Nothobranchius furzeri: one gene and its partners. The protein of the gene in region 2 purifies or fractionates together with the protein of the main gene of each other region. This does not show direct contact. Links are inferred from orthologs where the notes say so. Each region holds a gene or a part of one and is shown on either strand. Other genes may lie near its edges. The genes, in order: vps33a, plekhm1, vps41 and vps39.

The links.
Region 1: the proteins of plekhm1 (region 2) and vps33a purify together in Homo sapiens (affinity purification with western blotting; 3 studies listed by BioGRID and IntAct, with this or other methods). This does not show direct contact. The link is inferred for Nothobranchius furzeri from reciprocal best matches to the Homo sapiens genes PLEKHM1 and VPS33A.
Region 3: the proteins of plekhm1 (region 2) and vps41 purify together in Homo sapiens (affinity purification with western blotting; 4 studies listed by BioGRID and IntAct, with this or other methods). This does not show direct contact. The link is inferred for Nothobranchius furzeri from reciprocal best matches to the Homo sapiens genes PLEKHM1 and VPS41.
Region 4: the proteins of plekhm1 (region 2) and vps39 purify together in Homo sapiens (co-immunoprecipitation; 3 studies listed by BioGRID and IntAct, with this or other methods). This does not show direct contact. The link is inferred for Nothobranchius furzeri from reciprocal best matches to the Homo sapiens genes PLEKHM1 and VPS39.

Annotation. Positions count from the first base shown.
Region 1 is NC_091757.1:37,278,232-37,283,310, reverse strand, and holds the start of vps33a (vacuolar protein sorting-associated protein 33A), read left to right. Parts: upstream 1-1,685; 5' UTR 1,686-1,735; coding exon 1,736-1,837; intron 1,838-2,085; coding exon 2,086-2,151; intron 2,152-2,256; coding exon 2,257-2,384; intron 2,385-2,480; coding exon 2,481-2,667; intron 2,668-2,797; coding exon 2,798-2,914; intron 2,915-3,032; coding exon 3,033-3,207; intron 3,208-3,371; coding exon 3,372-3,565; intron 3,566-5,000; coding exon 5,001-5,079.
Region 2 is NC_091756.1:48,095,056-48,098,658, reverse strand, and holds the end of plekhm1 (pleckstrin homology domain-containing family M member 1), read right to left. Parts: intron 2,423-3,603; coding exon 2,229-2,422; intron 2,091-2,228; coding exon 2,027-2,090; intron 1,937-2,026; coding exon 1,779-1,936; intron 1,278-1,778; coding exon 1,169-1,277; 3' UTR 710-1,168; downstream 1-709. UniProt on the Homo sapiens protein: Acts as a multivalent adapter protein that regulates Rab7-dependent and HOPS complex-dependent fusion events in the endolysosomal system and couples autophagic and the endocytic trafficking pathways.
Region 3 is NC_091747.1:46,098,188-46,101,987, reverse strand, and holds the end of vps41 (vacuolar protein sorting-associated protein 41 homolog), read right to left. Parts: intron 3,389-3,800; coding exon 3,261-3,388; intron 3,188-3,260; coding exon 3,043-3,187; intron 2,968-3,042; coding exon 2,926-2,967; intron 2,851-2,925; coding exon 2,800-2,850; intron 2,717-2,799; coding exon 2,579-2,716; intron 2,494-2,578; coding exon 2,439-2,493; intron 2,359-2,438; coding exon 2,218-2,358; intron 2,149-2,217; coding exon 2,012-2,148; intron 1,762-2,011; coding exon 1,662-1,761; intron 1,580-1,661; coding exon 1,535-1,579; intron 1,446-1,534; coding exon 1,366-1,445; intron 1,267-1,365; coding exon 1,186-1,266; 3' UTR 968-1,185; downstream 1-967. UniProt on the Homo sapiens protein: Plays a role in vesicle-mediated protein trafficking to lysosomal compartments including the endocytic membrane transport and autophagic pathways. Acts as a component of the HOPS endosomal tethering complex.
Region 4 is NC_091758.1:17,006,163-17,010,467, forward strand, and holds part of vps39 (vam6/Vps39-like protein), read right to left. Parts: intron 3,834-4,305; coding exon 3,747-3,833; intron 3,668-3,746; coding exon 3,594-3,667; intron 3,477-3,593; coding exon 3,260-3,476; intron 2,658-3,259; coding exon 2,529-2,657; intron 2,067-2,528; coding exon 1,964-2,066; intron 1,717-1,963; coding exon 1,671-1,716; intron 1,467-1,670; coding exon 1,317-1,466; intron 944-1,316; coding exon 809-943; intron 559-808; coding exon 467-558; intron 376-466; coding exon 294-375; 3' UTR 1-293. UniProt on the Homo sapiens protein: Regulator of TGF-beta/activin signaling, inhibiting SMAD3- and activating SMAD2-dependent transcription.

The DNA of each region.
Region 1 (5,079 bases), on a different chromosome or scaffold from region 2:
TGACAAGGATGGCTTACTTATGTCAGATCTGCAACAAGGAAGGAGAGCTGTTGTAGGCCAGGTTCTGGTTCTGAGGGCAAGAAAAGGTAACCTCTTACACCTGGGATTATTTTAATCTGCCACCATGAATAAACTCAGTTCTTAACCATGACACGTCACCTCAGCACACAAATAGGTAGTCAGTGCATATTACCACTTCACTTACAAAGAGACATCTTAAAAATAGAATTTCAATCGAATATTCATTTACATTTCTGACATCAGCTGCATGCATACAGAGTGATCTGCATACACTTTTATTCCGTCTGATCAATCAGTTTAACTGGCTCGTGAAGACAAGGAATTTTGTTCCATCAAATTAACACAGGGTAGGAAATATGCTCCGTGTTAACACAGATGACTCACTCTCCCTCTCTTCTGAATGAAGCGCTGCATTCATTCAACTTGAGACATTTCTGTGTATCACCTGACATAACGCAAAATTAGAATATGAAAACAATGCTCATGGTGAAGATGCAATGTTTAGAAAACCTTGCAGAGAGATGGTGATGCCTACCTGAGAATCCAGCCCTGCCTCCTCTCCTCTTGTCGGGGAACGGAGCGGACTAGATTTCTGTGCAGAGCCTGGATCCGATCATAGAGTTAGTCATTGCGCATGGTGCCTGTCACCAAAACCGTGCTTTATTTATTTATTTTATTTTATTTATTTATTTGGCTGGAGGAGTTGTCTGTTGCAGATCACCCCGATGCGTGGGAAACGGTCTTCTATGCGTGGAGGATGGTTGGAAAGCCCTTGGTACCGTGGGAAGGAAACCCCTGGATCTGAAGTGATAACACAATGATGCTCATAAGTGGGCAGTCACCACCTGATCCAGTTTTCTTTATAAGTGTCTAAATTTATCTCAACATGCAGGCACTCCAGTTGAGAAATCACTGACATTTTGATTACGCAGTTGCAGTGGTGCGCCTTTTAACGCTTTTCTGTGTTTATACATGTATAAACATACAGTAATAAATAAACTGTACAGTAGTGTTTAAGTTGTATTGTAATTCCGTTAGAAATCAATTATTTGTGGGGGGTTTATTCCACTTAATTTGGATTACACACTTTGCCCGCTAACAAATGTTTTACTTTAAAAATTTGATCATTTTTGTCTTAATACAGTTTGAGTCTCGTGTTGATTTGGCTACAACAATCATATGTCCAAAAACGGACCCTAAAATTCAAAGATAAGTGTCCCTAAAATAAAGACGTTTAGTGCTTTGTTTTGACCGCAGACGCGCGTTTGTTTCGCAGGAAAATTGCGTCATCTAACGGTCACTCTGAATTTTACACTCAAGGAAATGATACCAAGACGTTTCACTCCTCATACTTCCTTGGTTGTAAACCCGAGACAAAAGCAACTTCATTCGGTGCATTATCGTCTACATGTGGTTGACATACAAAGAAATTTAATATGTGACACTGAGGCAAAGCTCTTTTAAACAGTACGGAGTTGATTTTATCTAATCCTCCTTTACTTCCGGGACACCAGAAAATTATTCTAGACCTAAAATATAATTTTTTAACCTACGTAATATAACTAAAGTCTACTAACATGAAGCTGAATTAAACTTGAATTTTTATTTTATTTTAATTTCCTAAATGTCTTGTCAGTACTGTGACGCATTTGGTCATGTGACTTTGACTTCCTGCCGAAGTCACCTGATTTTTGTGTTGTGTTGTGAGAAAAAAATGGCTGCTCATCTGTCCTACGGCAGAGTGAATTTAAACATTTTAAGAGAAGCGGCACGAAAAGAACTTCGAGAGTTTTTGGACAAATGCGCGGGAAGTAAGGTAAATAAAGTCACTTACAGACGCTGGAAAATATCAAAAGGAAATAGTCTTTTCTTATTTGTACAAAAATGTATTCATGATCCTGACAAATTAGACGGATTGTGTCGCGTTTACAGTACAGTCTATGGTTTAAACCAACGTGAAACGCGACCACGGGCAAATGCGCGTGTGAGCTTAAGTTTGATTTAAAACTTGTTTCCATAAATAAAATGTTTTTCATGGATACATGATGTGTTGTTGCTCTTTAGGCCATAGTTTGGGATGAGTATCTGACAGGACCTTTTGGACTAATAGCTCAGTATTCTCTGCTGAAGGTAAGTGCCTAACCCTTTACAGATTATTAAAATAAAACACAATGTAAGTAGATCTGACAGCCTGAGCCTTCACTTCTATTGCTCATTTTTTTGTGTGTTTTTCAGGAACATGAGGTGGAAAAAATGTTTACCCTCAAGAGTGGCAGACTCCCCTCTGCTGATGTCAAAAACATCATCTTCTTTGTTCGTCCCAGGCTGGAGCTTATGGACATCATTGCTGACAATATATTCAGGTGCCCCTCACTGTTATAAGCAACCAGTTTATACATCTTCCCTTAAAGAAATCCTTACAAGTATAACATTTGCATCTTGGATCGTGCACCTTTCAGTGAAGGCAAGCTGCATTCATCACGAGACTTCCACATTTTGTTTGTGCCTCGGCGGAGCATGCTGTGTGAGCAGCGGCTGAAAGAGCAGGGCGTGCTGGCCTCTTTCACCAACATTGATGAGTACATCCTGGATCTGATTCCTTATGATGGAGACCTGCTCTCTATGGAGTATGAAAGTGCTTTCAGGGTGAGTTTTTTCCCATTACAAATATGGAGTGTTATTTAGTCACAACATCAGAACCTCCTGCTCTATTTTATGTGTTTGAGTATATCTTTGCATACCATTTCATATTTGTACTTGCTTTCATCTCATTCAGGAGTGCTACCTGGAAAATGACCTGACGAGCCTGTACCACACAGCCAAAGGTCTCATGACCCTGCAGGCGCTTTACGGCACCATTCCACAGATTTTTGGGAAGGGAGACTGTGCACGGGTGAGTAAACCCAATGATCTGTGCAGTAACTGGAAAAAACTGTTTACACACACAATGTTAATATTAATAATGAGCAGATTAAAGACCTTTTTCCTGACAGATATTCTCTGTTTTATAGCATGTTGCCAACATGATGTTGCGGATGAAGAGGGAGTTTGCTGGCACTCAGAATCAGATTCTGCCGGTGTTTGACACTCTTCTCCTCCTGGACCGCAACATTGACCTGCTCACACCTCTAGCTACACAGCTCACTTACGAAGGCCTCATTGATGAAATCTATGGAATAACTAACGGTCAGAATGCACCATCATACGTTTGGAATCGTTCTATTTTTGTGTGAGATAAAAACATAAAAATGTTTAATATATTTTCTATTTCAATGATATATTTTAGTCTACTTAATTATTTTTTGCTAAAGGCACAGTTCTTCCTTTTTTTTCTCTTTGCCGTCTGACAGGATATGTCAAGCTTCCTCCTGAGAAGTTTGCACAGAAGAAGCAAGGAGAAGCTAGCAAAGATTTACCCACAGAGCCCAAGAAGTTACAGCTCAACTCAGCAGAAGAGCTGTATGCAGAAATCCGGGACAAAAATTTCAATGCTGTTGGTGCTGCACTCAGCAAAAAGGCTAAAATCATTTCTGCAGCGTTTGAGGTTGGTTTTCCTTTGTTTTTGTTTTTTGTTAATTTTTTTGTTTTTTTTAGATTTTGCACCTCTTAGTGTTAATTCCTACCAGATAACATAACTGTCTTATTTTATTTTGAAAGAAAAGGGGAAAAAACACATGTTTTCAATTATGGCTGCTTTCCACTTCTGTAGCTCTGCATGCTGGGTTTTCTGTAAAACACTAATGAGCAGATCTTCCTAATGGAATGCAGCCCTACTCCTTCAAGTCTAATTGTCTGCTGTAGGCTTTTATTGATTTATGTTCACAAGTGTTTTAAGGAAGACGTTCAAAATTGTCATCAAAGGTTTTTTTTAACAAATCAGAAAACCTACCTATGCCTTTGTTTAATTTTAAATTGAGCATTTGCATTTTTACATGGCCTGAAAAAAATTTTAATCTGCTATATAACTTCATTATCTATTTGAATGGTCTCCGTTTGGAGAAACAGAGATTAGTTCTGAACAGACGAACAAGCTAACAGCTAACATTTAAAACTTTAGCCAAATATAAACTAACTGGAATTTGTCCAACCCCTTCCCCTAACCCCTGACTCATCTCTGAGTTCCCTTTCTACTGGTTATTTTTGAAATATGATCGGTTAATCTGAGTTTAACATGCTGGCTAAACCTGAAAACAGTCTACCACCCCTATTTCCTGCATTAGCAGCTGATAAAAATAGGGAAACGCTTGGATTAGAAAAGCCTGACAATTCCACATCATATTGTCAAATTAGCATTCATGGACACACCCATCTTGGCTCACGATGGGGAAGGCTGTTATTGGTATAGCATCCAGGAGAGAGCAGAGCACGTCTCGGCTAGTAGAAGCCAACCGTTAGCATTTACAGCACCGCATCATAGCAGAACTCCTTCAGGCTTGTGTTGTTTGTGGAGCAATGCAAATGGAGTCAGTGGTAGCTGTTAGCCAATCAGAGGCGAGATGTTTGAATATAAGGAAATAAGACTCCAAATCCTGCCGTCTTCTGCTCTCCTCTGCTTTGGCTCACTTCTACTTCCTGAAACAGGAGCTCCAGAGCTTTTCCCCCACAGAGATTGACTCACAAAGCACTCGTTTATGCTAGAGACCACTGCAAATGTGTTGAGATATTTTAAGACATCAGAAACAGTTTTTAACGGGCCCAGCACAGACTAGTCGTTAGCCAGTCTATCAGTCTATCCATTTATCCCAATCAAGGTTTGTCACAGATCTGTCTACATCAAAAACAAACTACATTACGGATTTATTTACATTAAAAGTAATTCTAGTATACTTGTTTATACTCACTTGTTTTGTTATCTTTTAGTGCAGTTGCTTGTCCTAATGTAGCTTATTTAACTAAAATGTTGGTGATTTTAATTAGAAATGTTCTCTAACTGTTGTATAAAACAGTTTTAACAGACCTAACCACGCTTTGTCCCTCAGGAACGCCACAATGCTAAAACTGTGGGAGAGATAAAGCAGTTTGTGTCTCAGCTACCTCACATGCAGGCAGCACGGAGCT
Region 2 (3,603 bases):
GCCCTGTAGGCCTCCTTCTTCAGCCTGAAGCCTTCCCTAACCTCTGGTGTCCATCAGCGAATCTGAGGGTTATCGTCACGTCTCACACCACTCCTATCTTCACCCAAGTGTCCAAAACACAACTGGCCAGATTTATTCCTTAAATAAAAACAGAACCAAATTCAACACTCCAATATTTATTTCAATTTGACCCTTTAAGATAAAACGAGTACACATCAAGAATAACAGTACTGCAGAATGTGCCTTCTAAATGCCATATGCTGTGCATAGATCAAAATGAAATTATTAAACATGTAATGCTTTTATTGTTGACAGTTTCCACAAATAATTAATGATAACCAAACAATTATTGATAAAAACAAAAAAAGATAAACAAAAAAAAGAGGAATAAAAAGCAAGTTTTCATAAATCATTAGTTTTCTTGGGAAATAGTAAAGCTACAATTGAGCCATTTATCTGTATAGTGCAAATACACATCATCTATTTTCACCTTAGATCCAACAAAATTATCTAACCCGAATCTTAATTTGCAAACCTCTTTTCTTTGAACGCGCGTCCTTCCGTACACGCAGCAGATAGAAATTTTGCAGCACTCATATTTATACAAAACCTAAAAATTTAACGCTTCTGTGTCGTTTATTTTATTGGTTAATAAAACAAACAGATTTGTCGTGAGTTTTTTTTAAACTGTGAGAATAAATCATGGGACAAGTTTTAAAAAGGCACAATCAAAATCAGTGAATTTGATAAAGAGCTTTTTCTATTATTTACAAGTTCCTTGACATTAAGGTAAATACAGAATAAGAAGCATGCATGGTAGACATGACCGAGGAGAATCAGACACTAAATAATGAACAACAATGTAAACGTGTGTTGTTTACAATCGCCCACTGTCCTGTCTTTGTTTTGATGCCGTGGCTTGATATTTGTAGAGGTAATGAAATCTCCACGCAGTAACATTTGGCTGCATCGTGTCAAGTGTGTGCACCTTCGAATCAGTGCAAAGGTCTAGCTACTGTGGCACTGAGGCTCCCTTCTATTCGTTTTTTAGGTTTGCTCACGCTGATCGCTCTCATAATTGCATAATTGGTTACGTCTTGTGAATCCTTTCCTCTAACAGATGTCAAACATCCTGAAAGAGGTGGAGTTTTGCAGCCAGCTTCAGTTCTCATTCTTGCAGATTCCTCTCCAGGTACTTCTTCATTCTTTGACAGCGTGGACAAGAATCAGTGGTGGACTTGCAGGACCGGTGGAATACGGCTTTACAGGCTGTGCACCTGCTCAGAAACAAGGACGGAAATAAAAAACAGATTAAGAGGACTTTTTATCCATTTTACCAGTAGAAACAACAACTTCTCTTACAAATGCTAGACCAGATTTAAAATATTTTTGTAAACCTTTCGTTTTGTCCAAGTCACTTCATATACAGTGAGATAATCCAGACACCAAACATAAACTAGAGAAATAAAAAACTCTATTTCCCAAAGTAAGTATTTTTTTAATGTTACAAAAATGTGTGTGTTTGCTCCAAATTTAATCAGCCATGTGTATAAATAAATTGTTATTAATCCCATTTACTTACTTATTTGTTTATTTGTGAAATGAGCAAACTAACTACAACAGCAGCAAAGTTAACGTGCCAGTTTTTTACTGGGTACTTGATTTACTTCCTGCTACAAAGGAACTATTTAAACAGACATAACAAAGTGACAATCTTAAAAAATATAACCAAAACAAAAGGAAATAAGGCACCAAAAAATGGGATTATGAGATTATACCTGATAATGCTTTCGAACTGAAAGGGAAAGATGATATCTTCGGAGTGACATATCTGGCAGATGTAGCCACGCTGAGTGCACAAGTCACAATTCAGCACGTGATTAGAGGCGTGCTGCACCAGTGGGTCAAGGAAGATTGCATATTGGCTCTCTGCTATCTATAAAACACACAAAATGAAAAAAAATTCAGATTTCTTTTCTATGGTACAGCAGCTGGTTGTTGCTACATCAGAGAGTCAGAAAAGTACCTGTCTTAGATCCATGACGCTGTAAAGATGGCTCGACTCTAGCAGATATGTTCGCTGGCCCATTCTGGAAAGATGTGGAAAAAACCATGACATCAAAACAGAAAGCAGCTAATTATCATGGGGCTCCTGACCTCTTTCGTGATGCACAGTGCAGTTAAGTGGAGAAATCTCCGCAGATACCCCATTCGAACAACAAACACACCTTGCTTGGAGTTTCTTGCAGGCTCCGCTGCGGCAGGAGAGCAGGTAGTCGCCCAGGAGACGCAGCTTCTCTCTCAGAGTGTGGGCCTGAGTCATGGACTCCGAGTGTGTCACCAGCTCAGGGTTCAGCTGCTCCAGGTTAAGCAGAGGTTCCTGTTCTACTTGAGCCAACAGACAAAGAGCTCTCTTTGACACCTAGACAGAAACACAAACACTCAGGTTTGTTAGATGATGATTTTGGTTTTTCAGTTATGATTTAAGTCTGTTCATAGAACTCTGCTTTGTTGGGTGTTTTAATGAAATTCTCCTTACTACAGACTCCAGATACTTTTAGATTTGACTGCTGCCTTTGACAGAGTGGACCATAATCATTTAAAATCCCATTAGAGCTCTGTTTTAACTGGAATGTCATAAAAGCAGACACCTTTCTGTGTCAGTTTAAACAACTTCTATTCCTTTTTGGGTTTTTTTCATCACGAGGGGTTCCACAGGGCTCAGTTCATGGTCCTTGGCCTTTTTAATGTGACAGGGTGAGTGTCTAGTCACCGCATCCCAATTGATTATGTTGGATCAGCTAGATCATGCGCCCTAGCTACTTGATCATGGGGATGTCCACTTGGCTGACAGGTTAGCACATGCGACTCTCACCCCGGAGTCCGGGAATCGAATCACGCCCGGGGCCCTTGTTTTTCCTCCTTGCCACTTAATGTTTGTAGGTTTTAGGGTCCATTTTAAGAAAGATTTCACTGTTATGAAGAATATACACAGATGAACCCTGAAATAAAAGGGTGACCAAAACATTAAAATACTGTTTAAAACCTTTGATGGTTTTTAAGTTTAAAACAAAGAAAGGTTTGTCTTTGATAGTGCTATAACCAGTGGGCCCTGGTCATAGCAGTCATACCAGTGTCCCCTGACTTGGGTCTTCTGGTGCTATATGGTAAGCCAATAGTAACCAATTTGGGTTCTAAATCAGGTTATTTTAAGATGGACAGTTAAATGAGGACTGTTATCAAGCTCAGCTTTTGTTATTCGAGACAAGTGGAAAAGACAAAAAAACCATGTCAACTAAGAATGTTAGAACAGCAGTTTGCTTCTGTTACAACTTGACACATCCTTAAATGGTGTTGCCCCAGTTTTCCCCTACACTCCCCTCCTTGGGTCGTGATCAGCTGGTCCTGAACGTGCCGAGAACCCTGCATTAGCAGAGAGGAGATAAGGGCCTTCGCTGTTGCAGCTTCAAAAATCTGGAATTTTTTGTGAGCGCATCTTAGAAAAGCCTCCTCACTGAATCATTTAAATGTCCTTGGCTCTCCATACAACTATTTGACTGTATTGCCATTTTGCATTTTTAGCCCATTTTCCTTGTATCCTAC
Region 3 (3,800 bases), on a different chromosome or scaffold from region 2:
AAGATACATTTATTAAAATAATCATTAAAGAGGACATATTTTGATTATTTGTTATAATAGTTCAATGATTGATACAAAACATATTAAGTCCTTTGCACTTAATTTCTCTCACAGTCATTTCAGCAATTTTATTTTTGACATTTTCAGTACCTTACAAAATTAGGCGTTTTAGTGCTCAGTCACTTTAAGAAAATAAGCAGGAGCTGACCACAGCCACTTCTCCTTCCCCAGACTGCTATAAGCTGAGAAGCTCCGATGTTCGGTAGGGGCTCGGAATAGAGTAGCTGCTCCTCTAGCATCAGCTCTCGCTTACATGTGTGAGGTGGTTCTATTCTAATTTTCCCATTTGTGACATTACAGACAGGTACTTTTTGAAACGGCTTGCTTTAGACCCATAAATCCTAAAATACTGACAAAAAATGTATGGGAACTCCCCTGGATGATGGAGCTCTTCATCTTTTCTCCAAAGAAGCTCATTTTAGCTGCTTTTATTTGGGATCTTTTACTTTTGGTTATCCAAACCAGTGAGGGTGGGAATGTAGATGAACCAATAAATCAAGAGCATTTTCGTCCTTTTATTCTTTCAACAAGAACAAGTTATGAAGCACCGGCTACAACTGCAAAGCCCCAATCCACCGGCCCATCTTTTGCTCCATCCAGTCCTCACTTGTCAACTAGACACCCAAATAATTGAATTATATAAGGATGTGCAATAAAGCACAGATGAGATCTCTGCGACTACAAGATGAGATCTTGTTCATGAATGCCAGACAAACAGGATACACCCTGGATGAATCGACGCAAACCAGTAATGAACTTAAATTTGTACAGAAAATGAAGCTGTAGCTCTTGCATTGGCCGTAGAGAGCATCAAACTCCCGTGATGCACTCAGCAACTCATTTTGATGATTTATGATACTCTCAACCTAAGAAGCATTTTGGATGACATAAAGCATCAACAACACAGTCAGAGTTTATGTGATTTTATTCTTCATCACATTCAAGGTGATCTGGACAAAACACGGCACTTTACAGTTAGCAAACAAATAAAGGGTAACAGTTCTGTATTTTGGTGAGAGTACAGTTCATCAACTGAGGAAAAAAGATTCCTGTTCATCAGCGTACCGACGAGGGAAAAAAGGAGACAAAAAGCATCAATAACAACAACATGAGGGCATTAAAGTGTCACTTTTTCATTTCGAGTATTCCACTTCCAGGTCCTCGCCTCTTCGCACTGCAAATGTTACAGAACTGCACTCCAGGAATCTGGAAAAGTAAAAATGGGAACAAAGTGGAGGATGTTCCTGAGGTTTTCTGATAAAATAACACCAGAGTTGGGAAAGAGGTGTTTGAATGCAGACTTACTATTCCTGAAGACGGCAAACACTCCTTGTGAAACATGTGTCTGCAGTGAAACACCACCACACTGAAAGGCTGGGCCATGTCTGAAACACACACATGAAGCTGTTAATACAGTAAACATAAAAAAAAAAACAAAAAAAAAACACAGGGATCAATGACATTATCAACCCACCTGATGGTAATATAGTACCATGACACGACTCACAAATGTTCCCCTCTGAAAGAATGAACAGAATCAACACATTTAGGGGTTCATCTGCACTGGTTCAACACAAACTAGCAATAGAATCTGCTCCCACCATCGACCCGGACTCCTCTCATCTGGGTTCGATGCATCTTCTGGAGCAAGGAGAGGGAGTCGGCCACCAGGATCTTCTTACACCCTTCCCTTAAAAGAATCTACAAGTCGAGAAATAAAAGCGCGTAATTAAGCAAGTGAGTCAGAAGATTTCATGCCATATAAACCAATTAAATTACCTGTTAAACCTGTTATAACTCTTCAAAAAGCAGAACTTAATGGATTAATAACAAGTTTTTACATGAAGGAAGCTCCTGGTGTGTCATGTAATCTTTAAGCCACCAAAGAATCAGTCTGCAACCTGCAGACATTTAAATAAATAGAGTTTTTCTTTGAGAGAAGCCACCTGACCTGCAGGTTGTAGTCATGGAGGATTTTCACCAGCGAGTCCCTGAGATTCGGGATCTCCATGCCCTCCTTGATCCGATAGATGAGCAGAATCGGATCAACATGCGTGCCGATATTATTCAGGAGGCCCGTGATGAACGCTGGGTTTAGTGAGGGTGGAGTGAGTTAAAGACAATGAGATAAAAGTTCAGAGTCAAGTGACGTCTTACGCGGCTTGTCGATCGAGTACGAGATGAGGTCCTCCCACAGCTCTGCGTCATCCTGCTCTTTAGCGAACTCGATGGCTTTGTCCACGTCCTCCAGCTCCTCCATGATCATCTGCAGGGCTCGTCTACAGTTTCCCATCCTGCCTGAAAGACGAACGAGAAAAAAAAATTGCATTTGTTTCTCACGTTTCCCTTAACAGATGCGTTTGTTTCTAAATGTTTACTTAGCAGGAAGACCGTCTCTTCCACAAAGTTCCTCTGCTGACAAATCTCAAGAGCCTGGATGAAAACGACAAAGTTCAAGTAAGAAGAAATGACAGAAGCTTAATTTGTTTGTAATTCTGGTGGCAGGAACACACAGTACCTTTTCAAGAGGGCAGTGAGTGCTGTCTCTCAGAAAAGGCAGAAGGTTTGGCCGGTCGTATTCGGCGTACAGGCCGATCTGCTTCTCATGGTACTTCTGTCCTTTGTGGTGGTCCCTCTTGAACAGTTTATGGAGATACTAGGAGAGAAACGGCTTAGCCATCACGCTGCACCAATGAATTCAAATGAACCCCTAAAACATCCAAGTTACAGAAAACTCACCACATGCAGCAACTCAGGTCGACCATGTAGCTCCTCCACCACCCTGTCCATCTGTCGGGAGAGCCATGGACATCAGCTAGCAGCAAAGTTCTTACCAGGACATTCAAAACTGTCAAATTTACTCACAGAAATCTTGTCTTCATTGTCGAGAAGCATGTCAACAGCTTTCTAATGAAAACGTACACATTTAATTACATAAATGGTCTTTAGATGGACTAAATAATAAATAGGTTGGTTTGTTACCTCCTTATCAAAGTCCATCAGGAGGACGATCTTGTCCTCTATGGAGGAGAACAGGTTGTGCTTGTGGATCAGCTGGTAGACATCTTTGTGTCTCAGTCTCAGGTAGATCTCTAAAGCTCTGTCGTAGCGCTGGTCGTACGTGTACCTGAGAAAGCATCAAGTCCTGTTCAGCAACTTAACAAGAAGCTTAGATGAAAGCGAGCGCTGAGGCGACTCACAGCTCAGCCAGCGTGGTGAGCAGCGTGCTGTTGGTCGGATCCTTCTTCAGGTGGTCAGTGACGGCCTGAACGATGGCCATGTTGTTGTAAAGTTCTCCAGGCCACTCCCGGATCAGCGTGGCAAAGCCCTTCAGGAAAATAAGAAAAGGAATAAGATTAAAGAGCAATGAGTGCATTTCTATAGTAGGTACACACGTTAGTAGCTGGTTTTCAGCCATCTAGATCTAATCGTTTTTCCATTTCATTTTGTCTCCCAACCAGAAAACTTCTCTTACATCTTTAGAATTCTCCAGCAGGTGGAGGAATAATACCGCTGCACCATTTCTAGGAACTAAACGTGACCCACATCACAGCTGAGCTACAAACGGCGGGTTTTGAAGTCTTATTTTCTGTTATTTGGACATCTTGCCTCAGACTGGATAACAGCAACACCACTCCAGCACTGACTTGCAGCGTGGATGTTTTATCTCCACAAAAAACACAAGCCTGGAGGAGCTTCTGCCGTGTGGTGGTGTTGCTAATGCTAACAGTTAGCTCTGC
Region 4 (4,305 bases), on a different chromosome or scaffold from region 2:
CAGCTCTTTCCCCTGTGGGGCAGCTAATCCTGTCTGTGTTAGAGTAACACACATCCAATGTAACAATTCACCTCTTTATTCCTGTCCTGTTGAGCGTTTCGGAACATTCCTCCTGTTTGCTCATGGGCACAGAACGAGAACCTCAGCCTCCGCTCTAAGAACAACGGTTATGTCAGGTTAAGAATTCCTACAAGGAGGCCTGGATCCACGGTCCGGCTCTGGATGCCGCTGTCCTTCATCTTTATCTCTGTAGCCCAGAGAGGAAAAGTCTCGGTCCGAGTGAGGAGTGGGTTCTACTGCTCGGTGGGACACACGCTCCGGTCTTTACAGCAGAAATAATGAACCACCACACCGTTGGGATACCTAGCAAACGCACTGAAACAGAGGATAAGATAATAACATCAGATTATTAATCACTTGGTCTGAAAACATCTGCAGAAACATGGTTTCCCTCACATGCCCCTACCTGTTTCCTATTTTCTTCTTACAGACTCTGCAGGTCTTTTCTTCTGTAATGACACATTTAACCTGCTGGTGGAAGATCCGTTCCTCCTGCACCTGGAAACAAAACAAAGCATCTTAAACCCCTGCAGCAAAAAGCCCTCCAACCTCCAAAAATCTGTTTCATGAGAACGTTATTTATGGAGAACTTCTTTTATTATTCCACGTGCCTAGAACCTGTGGCTCCGGGCCACAAGGGGCTTTTTAAAACTTCAAGATGCAAAAATAAACCCTTATTAAATAAAAAACATCAGATTCTAATGAGATATTGAAATAAAGAATCTCTTTAGAGAGGTCCAGGACTCACTCTTAGGAACTCGGCCTGCAGCAGACTCTTCAGAACCTGGTTGCAGCGTTTCCTCTGAGCCTTCTGCTCCAGGACGCTCTCCAGGAAGACCCGGATCTCTTGGATCTGAGTGTTGGCTGGAAGCAGGTTGATGGCCTGAAACAAACATATACATTTATACGGACAGGTCAGTGAGCCGAGGGGAAGAGGTCTGCTGCAGGCTTCCAGATTTAACTCTAGTTAAAGTTTTATTGTCTCCTAATCAACAAAGTCCCACACTGGTGAAATTACACGCAGCAGTGGATGCGCTCGGGAACTATTTGGTGGTTTATAAAAACGGAAAAGCAAGATCAGAAGAACAGAGCTAGCATTAGCATCGCTTTAGCCTCACAGAAAACATCAGCAGGAGAGACTTGAGTTTATTAAAGGCGTTGTAGCTGGATGAGCAGAATAAGATGTTCTGATTTTAATACATGGACACTTGTCCAAATGAAGAGGACTGTCTGAGGAAAGTGAGACTAAAATGGACCTTGGTGGTGTTGAGCTTGCTGTGGTGGAGCTCCAGAACCTGCAGGGCGGCCTGAAGGTTGGCCTGAGGCTCTGAGAGCTCCATCTTGATGGGTCCCAGGCAGTGGGCATCAGGAGGCGACAGGTACATCCGTAGGAGTGACAGGTACACCTGGAGGGCACATGCCAGCAATCATTTTACAGAAAATGTCAAGGATGTAATCACAGAAACGTCTAGAAGGATCCAACCTAAAACCAGGCAGGATCTCAGAAAAATATTAACAAGTTGAACAAATACAGAGTATTTCTAATCAATCCCAGTTTTACAATAATTAAAAAACAACAATAAAACATATTTAGACAAAATAATACTCACATCCTTACTTCCTTCAACTGAGCTGTTATAATGTCGGTGACAGTATCTGCAACACACACACACACACACACACACACACACACACACACACACACACACACACACACACACACACACACACACACACACACACACACACACACACACACACACACACACACACACACACACACACACACACACACACACACACACACACACACACACACACACACACACACACACACACACACGCGCGCGTCAGTAACAAATCTCCATGACAGCAAGTGTTTGATGACATCAGGTGAACTCACTCCTCAGCCATGTGTGTGTCTTTCAGGACGTGGACGTAGATGAAGAGCGCCTGCTCGTGTTTACCCATACGACCCAGAAGGAGAGCTCGTTCCTCCAGCAACCCTGGAAGGTCAAAGGTCAACACCGTAAACTGAAAACAGAAACAACTTACTCCTCCAGTCATTTCCTCTACCTCAGCTGCAAACAGTTTTTATAAAACAACTTTATTTTTCTCTTAATTGTTCTGGTTCCTGCTCAAACTCTTCTGCAGCAGGGAGGCGTTAGGCTTGGTGTCCCAGTGCATTCTGGGACTAGTAGTTTTAGTACTGCAGGCTGGTTGTAATATAGAAGACTTCATGGCCCACAGATAGCTGTTATGTGGGTCAGACTTGTCCCACATGCCTAGAGTTTGACTTATGTTGTGGAGGACATCATTCTCGAGTCCACATGCCTCCAGGGCTTGCACCAGACCTTCATGCATGTCCTCCTGTAGTCCGTTTACATCCCTGAGATCAGCTGTAGGACAGAAGCTTTTCTCTGGAGCTCACAGCGAGCAAACGCCTGAAACAAAAAGTCACTTCCTACCATCAAATGGAAAATCACTGATGAGTCTGGAAGGTTCATAGCTGCAGGAGATATCCAGGAACGACAGCAGCTTGTTTCTGAACTCTCCCAGTTCTCCATTCTCTTGACCTGCAGGAACAGCAGGAACCCCTGAAACACCAGAAAGTATCAGTTAGTTACAGCTGAAGTCATTTATTAGTCACACACTCTTCATCTCGTCAACACACAAAGAACCTCAGGAATCATTCATCTGATTTTCAGTGACAGCAAAGTGAAGCTTTACAGGAACTTAAAGCATCCTGAAGGCGAATCCACGAGAATTATCGGGCGTTTACCACCCACTGGTCTTGTAGAGGCGTTTCAACATCAGCGATCAGCATCTGAATTTTACTAAAACATTTTGAACGGTAAACAGACCTGTACAGATCAGCAACACTGGATTATAATCCGCAGCATGAAGTCAAGAGGATTTTAACACCATTTCCCTCCAAACTAAAGAATCACTAAAGTTTCCAAAGCCAAATGTGTGAAGCTGAGGGTATGTTAATGAGGGCCGCATTCCATTTTGAGGAACTTCTACTCGGAAGCATTTTACAGCTCAACCAGCATGCAGCCCTCGTTAACAACATGTCTACCCAGAAACAGGTTCACCAGTGATCTCCGTATCCACCAGGTTAGTTTAAAAACAAACAACAATCACCTGGATTCAAAGAGCTTCTGCTTCCACCTGAGAACGTGTCTGCGGCACGCACCTTCTGGTAGAGAGTTGAGGTACTGCTTCATGAGCCGCTGCACCCTGCCCAGGTACAGCTGAATCAGCACGTTGTGGAATTCTGGGCCCTTCTCATCCCACACGTAGATGATGTGCTCCAGATACGGGATGGCCAGCTCCTCGAAGCCCTCCTTCAGGAACTGCAGCACCTTGTCTCTGGGCAAAGTCTCCACCTCGGTCAGATCTTCAGTGAAGATCTAGAGAATAAATGAATAATTTTAGGATATTAGGAGTAAAAAAAAAAACCACACACACACACACGCACACACACACACACACACACACACACACACACACACAACTTCTTTTCCCACCTTCAAGCCATCTTCAGGACACATCTTTAAGACCCAGGGAGAAAACTCAAAGATGATTCCCAGATTCTCCGCTCCTGTTGGAGTGAAAAAGGTTTAGAAGGTCAAGAGTTCACCTGAGTTCATCAAAGTTCCCACGAGTGTCTGACTGCTCACCCAGCCTCTGCAGGTACTGAACAGTTCGCTCATGACCCTTCAGAGGAGAGTTGGCCTTGGTGGACTGGTCCAGCAGAACCTGCAGAGCTGTGACACAAGAGGAGGATTAAAACTTGCACGACTGAATGCAGCAGATGCAGAATTAATTAACAGCTGGTTTGAATCAGCAGCTGGGGACGGAGGAGGATCGGAGCAGCAGGATGATCTGATCGGATTAACAGGGATCAGCAGCAGGAAGGAAAGCTCATGGAAGTTCTGCATAAAGGAACACTTAGGCTGGATCTAGAACCAGGAGATTTGTCCCAAACAGCTGTTTCATGATAACTCCTCCTCAAGAGAAGAAACATGTTTTCCTATAATAATCTAAACAAACAGGATAAATATGTCTGAGGGGTGTTTAAAACGCTCCAATCAATAATAATGATCTGCAGCTGATGAACTTCAACCGAACAGGAGAATAGCTTAAACCTAAATCTTTCTGACGATGATGGAGTCCTGGTAACACTTCCTCTTGCTCCGCATCACACGCAGACATAAAAGATGTTATCAAGGAAAAGGC